Linked DNA regions of Danio rerio. The protein of the gene in region 1 interacts with the protein of each later gene in a biochemical or structural test. Links are inferred from orthologs where the notes say so. Each region holds a gene or a part of one and is shown in the gene's direction. Other genes may lie near its edges.

What was found. The genes of interacting proteins can lie anywhere in the genome.
Region 2: of the proteins of lnx1 (region 1) and kcna4, one has a biochemical effect on the other in vitro, tested with the Homo sapiens proteins (2 studies listed by BioGRID and IntAct, with this or other methods). The link is inferred for Danio rerio from reciprocal best matches to the Homo sapiens genes LNX1 and KCNA4.

Annotation. Positions count from the first base shown.
Region 1 is NC_133195.1:25,286,093-25,289,758, forward strand, and holds part of lnx1 (E3 ubiquitin-protein ligase LNX), read left to right. Parts: intron 1-627; coding exon 628-886; intron 887-2,192; coding exon 2,193-2,351; intron 2,352-3,666.
Region 2 is NC_133182.1:32,643,600-32,646,257, reverse strand, and holds part of kcna4 (potassium voltage-gated channel subfamily A member 4), read left to right. Parts: coding exon 1-580; 3' UTR 581-1,819; intron 1,820-2,658. UniProt on the Homo sapiens protein: Voltage-gated potassium channel that mediates transmembrane potassium transport in excitable membranes. Forms tetrameric potassium-selective channels through which potassium ions pass in accordance with their electrochemical gradient.

The DNA of each region.
Region 1 (3,666 bases):
ATTTATAGAAAATATAATAATTGAATGTTAGCATTTATGTCAGAACACACTTTATTAACCTATTACAAAAATATGGAATAAAAGTAGAAATAGTATTGGAAGACTATACATACTTTTGACAAAATAGAAAACAGATAAGTGACATTTAGAAATGTTATCAATTTTTTTAGAAAGCACTGAAAAGGAGCACTGCTAGGATAAGTTCCAGTTGATCTGATGCACCACATGTGGTTTACAGAATAGAAAGGTGAAATAAAAGAATAGAGAGTGTAAAAACAGAATACACTAGAATTATTAGGTGTTTGGGGGGGGGGGGTCTTCAGCTGTTTCGTGAAAATTACTAAACTACAAGTGTATAGAACAGAATTAAGCACTAAAGAATTAACTGAAATGAAATGCAATAGCTATTATAAATTACCCATAAAATGACCCATTTAGTCTTAATAAACCTCTATAACCATGTTGTGCATGACTCTAGCATGCACATTATTCTATTAAATTTGCATAGCAATATTTTAGGTTGTTTCAAATAATGAAAAACTGTCTCCAATCAACAAAACCTCACCAACAACCATACTCTTCCAGTCTTGTGATTCACATAGTAAAAATGATTATTCCATCTTTTAGGTGACATCCTCCTGAATGTGAATGGAGTCGACCTGACAGGTGTGACCCGGAGCGAGGCTGTGGCCAACCTCAAGAACACCTCATCCCCGGTGGTCCTGCAGGTGCTGGAAATGAGACCCCCTAACGAGAGCTCGCTGGACTGCATGCCACCCCTGCACTCGCCCTGCGCCCTCTCACCCTCCTCACCCGGAGATGTCAAACTTCCCCCGCCCAATGATGACTACGCCCCACTCTGGGTGTCCTGGCTACAGCTGCCCAGGTACAATGTGCAGAATAACACATAAATAAAACTGTTTGTGGGTTTCTCTTTATCAGATTTATCACAATTATATATTGGACAAAGCAGATTTGAAAACAGTTAAGGATTCCTACAGTGCAAATAAGTGAGGACTTCAGCAAAGATTTCAGGGAATTTAGCAAAGATTAATGTAAAAGTGACAACATGCTAAATTGAATTAAATTTAATTAATAATTAAATTAATAATTAAGTTAAATTAAATTATATACACTACAGGTCATGTTTATTTCATTTTAAAAAGTAATTAATTAATTAATTAATTAATACAAACAAAAATAAGCAAGCAAGCCAAGACTGATTTTTAAAGACTTTTTAATTGAAATAATTTATTATATATATTTTAATGAACATCTAATATTAAGTACAGTAATAAACTGGAAAAAAACATTTATATAAAATAAAGTGACACTGAAAAGTAAAGCCAGGGCTACAAACATTGTTTTGATCAAACATTTATTATTATTATTATTATTATTATTATTATTATTAATATTATTTATTTGCCCAAATCCTAATATATAGTTTTGTTTTCTTCTTTCTCATTTTCCTCCCTCTCATTCAAAGCTTTTTTCCTCTGCCGGTATTTAATAAATCCGTGGGAATTTGAAAGGAGTGTGAAAGTTCTTAACAACTTCCTAAATTACTTCATAATGCATAACAATTCAGAAAGTGGTATGCAGTGAAGAAAAAGTGAGAGCAGGGTTGAGGAAAGCCCTTCTCACCCTCAGTCTGTAACGGGTTTACACAGTGAAAGTGTGACGGCTTTAAATAGACCTTTCACAGCCTCTCTTTCAATTTATTTCTTCTAGTTCTGTGTTTATCTTTTGTCTATTACATTTTGATTATTCATTTCTACATTATTTTATTTCACAGAAATCCAATCTAAATCTGAGGTCTCAGTCTCATGTGGTCAAAATCTGGCCTTTAATATTTTAATATTCATAACAGTAGCTAAAAATGATATCTCTGTAAAATAAGGCACAAATTGTTTATAAATTATTAATATAAATGAATTATTCTCCATGTATCTCATTTACTGTTCTGTCTTTAAAGGTCTAAACAGACAGATCACCTTCATTTAGATCTATGTAACATAAAAAAAAAATAAAATAAAAATCTGCCACCATTTCAAAAGTGACGCAATGAAATGCAATTCCTTTAAGGGCTTTTCTATTGTATGCTTTGACCTCCTGCTGCATAATTTATTGTCCTCTGTATATCTGCCGAATGACAATAAAATTAACCTTGAATTTTCTGTCCATTCCAGGCATCTCTATTGCTGTAAAGACATTGTCCTCCGCAGGAGCACGTCTGGCAGTCTGGGTTTCAGCATTGTTGGTGGACAAGAAGAACTCAATTGTAACCAGTCCTTCTTTATTCGCTCAATTGTAGAGGGAACACCAGCCTACAACGATGGCAGGATACGGTACGAACAAGACAGTGTCTACTTTCAACAGAAAGCATGCTTTATGTACAACTACAATTCCAAAAAGTTCCATTCCAACAAAAATCACGGAAACCCATATGATTGGTTAAAGCAACAGTTCACTTTTTTTCTAGAAACTAGAGTTAAACTTTGGAGTTTTCCCAATATTTTTTAATCCAACCGGTCAATCTCCTGATATGGCGGAAGAACTTTTAGCTTAGATTAGCGTAGATCACTGAATCGGACTGACTATTAGCATGTCACTCAAAAAAGAAAAAAAGTTTCAATAATTTGCCTATATTCAAAGCCTGACACTTATGTAGTTATATCTTGTACTAAGACTGATGATTAGGGAAAAGTTGCTATTCTATATAGTTCTGTACTCTCATTCTGGCATAATAATCAAGGAACTTTGCTGTTATGCAATGATATTACACCCCATTCACACGTGCGTTAGCGTCAATGCTTCACATTCACTTCGAATGGGTAACGTCAAGCATTGCCGAACTCAATTGTGGATCCGTAAGTGTCGCTTCAGCAGCGCTGCTCACTGCAAAAGTAAATTCTTAAGTGCCAACGGAAGCATCAGCCAATTAGATCACTTTATGCAAATACCCTAGCTCTGACAATAGGCGATTGCGGGCTAATTTCATTGGCTGATGCTGCTATGATGATCGCATCAGACCCAACTTCAAACACGGCCTCCATCAAGTGTTGACGCTGAAGCCCCATGTGAATCGGGCAAAAGACAGTATCTGAAAATAGTCCCCAGCTAGGTAACTAGGTAACAGAGCTGCATCATATATATAATATCATGAATACAGCACAGTCAAATTATACTTGAAAATAATTATTATTGTCATGTACAGAAACATCAGTGCGATTTTACAAACCATAAATGTTGTTTTGCAAGTATTTATGTCTATTTAAATGTCTAAAATCTAAGATAATTCATCTATTTGTAAATCTCTGATTATAGTTAATACAACTTGGATATTATATTTATAGTATATTAATCTATAAAAAATTGCACTTATAACTGTTTTTGCACTCCTGGTTAGACCTAATCTGTGTTTCCTTTTACTTGTACATGTGTAATGACAATAAAGTTAAATGTAATCTAATAAAAATTATTTGTTTAAAAACACTAATAAATCACTGATAATTTGTGATTTATAACAAGCGACGCACAAGTCTTTCTATGGCTCAGCGTGAGCCATCGCGGGAAAGCAGACTTGAATTTAGCAGCTGATTACGGGAGGCACTGAATGTTCTAATCACACCGGTGTGATCGTATGTTCCAGGGACCAGCCAA
Region 2 (2,658 bases), on another chromosome or scaffold:
TCTCCAGATCCTCGGGCACACTTTACGCGCGAGCATGCGAGAGCTGGCGCTGCTCATCTTCTTCCTCGTCATCGGCGTCATCCTGTTCTCCAGCGCGGTGTACTTCGCAGAGGCGGACGAGCCCACGTCACAGTTCACCAGCATCCCAGATGCGTTTTGGTGGGCTGTGGTGACCATGACCACGGTGGGCTACGGTGACATGAAGCCCATCACGGTCGGGGGCAAAATCGTGGGCTCGCTGTGCGCCATCGCCGGCGTCCTGACCATTGCGCTTCCAGTCCCCGTCATCGTGTCTAACTTCAACTACTTCTACCACCGGGAGACTGATAACGAGGACCAGGCGCCCGCCGTGGAACAACCCCCACCGGGTTGCCCCTACTTTCCGGATTTCCTGAGAAAATTCAAGGGGTCCCCATCGGGCTCATCTTTAGGTGACAAGGCTGCGGAGTACATGGAGATGGAGGAGGGCGTGACGGAATCTCTGTGCGGGGGTGACACGCAGAGCCCGAGCAGAGGGAACGGTACTGACTTAGGCGGGAAAAACAGTTCACATTCACGAACCCTACAGACAGATGTATGATTATGGAAGAACGATGACCTTTCATCATGATGACTGCACAAATGAATCAGTTAACAGCACACACATGCACAACTTGAAGACACACACAGTACGCGCGTGCGCAGACACACTGTCTCACACACATTAAGTTCTGGACCTGAGCTGAAACTTTTTTGCAATGTGGCTGGCTACTTTTGTAGAGAAACATACCCTGTAATCACATGACAGGCAACGCAAAAATCACCAGCTTTACGTGACGTGGAGAGGTGTCTCTATCTGCCCGCCTGTTCAGTTCAGTTGACAGAACCGAACGACTCCCGGTTCATTAAATGAAGGAACTTGCATAGGCACTTTATGAGTTACATTTGTCAGTAATTGTAGGAAAAAGAGGCGAGTTCTTATCTAATGCTATTATGCAATAACGTTTAAATCGTTTGCACTATCATCAATTATGTTCTAGTCTCCCACTTTAATGCAGAGGAAAGAAACACTGAGCTAGAGAGAGAAACGACCCCATAGCAATCATGTTTTAAATTGCATTTATAATTAATTCCAAACAATAGCAAACATACGCTGTCCACGACCAATTCAGCTAACAGGAAGGAATTTGTTTCACTATTAGAATTAATTGGAGAGCAGCATGTTGCATAACTTAAGGCTATGTTATCTTAAAAATCCCATTGTGGCAAACATGTGTCCGCATGGCAGTATTCAGTATGTACTACACTCTGGTAAAAAACCCTTTTAGCACACCCTGTGTAGTTATTTGTGCATCGTCCAAAGTGACTAAAGAGTCATTATAGTCGGTCCCTTTTGTGAGTATTGAAAACAAACCAATCATGTTCGTTTTTGTTCATTAGCACAAGATCCACACCACACTACAGTTCATCCATCACGCGATCTAGGCGTCATTCTTTCGCAGCATTATCACATACAGAGTCCAAAATAACCGGTTTGCATTGTCTCACAAAGTAAAACACCTTGTACAACAGAGTCCACACCGACACCGTGGCTTGAAGGATCAGTTTGGCCACTGTTTTCAAGTTACTGTCTTGGGAGTTAATTTCAAGGGGAATGCTTCATGCAACTATCTTGTCTTCATCCCTTTACCAAATGACAATGCATCCCTTTATTAAAATGCTGGCGGAAATCTACAGCACTGATGGGAACATGAACTTGGTGGACTTCATGCACAGCGAATCCTCGTCTCAAAGGAGTGCACGATGACCACTGAGCATGCGCGGTGCATCGCAAACCCAGGTAAGTGTTTTCTGCTGCATCAAGACTCAGTTCAGTCACTCAGTCACGCTGTCATTACTCATGCTCAGATTTACACGCCGTCCAGATGTTTACGCATGTGCGCAGGTGTTTATGCATCTGCGTGGACCCGCTAGTTGCCTGTCAGGCCCAGAAACAGGTGCTCCACGTGATCTCAGCAGGCATGTGATTTCAGATCTCATGTTTTCTTGTTTCATAATAATACATCAACAATGCCTTGAATTGCTTAGCAACAAGGGGCTTATTGTCAGAGAGACGACTGACTGTGCTGTGTTCCCTTGGAATCCAAAAATCCTCATTTGCTCATGAAGTGTGCTGAGCTTCATTTTTCTGATGTCATAATAACTATTACTGATTTTTCTAGACAAGATAATGACCGTTTAATCTGCAGTAAACTGAGATTTTGTCATGACATGCTACACTGAAAAATACGATTTTTGCTAAATTGTTGCAATCAATTTACACTGCTTTTGCTGCTTGTTCAAACTACGTATTCAAAATGAGTTGAAACAACACAATTCTTAAGTTTGTTTTGGGACAACTTAATTGTTTTATGTTCAGTCCACTTAAATTTGTGAAAACCACTATTTCAACTTAATTGATTTGTGTTGGAACAACATGAAGGAATTGTGTGGAACCCAGCATTTCTTTACAGTGCATACACTGTAAAAAGTAACTGTACCAAAAGCCAGTAAACCAATTCCTTTAAAAGCAACAAGTTGCCTTCACAAAGATAATATGAGTAAAAACATTTCAACTTGGAACTGTTACATTGACTTAACTTGTATAATTATGCTAGTTGTAATCACTTTTTAAAATCA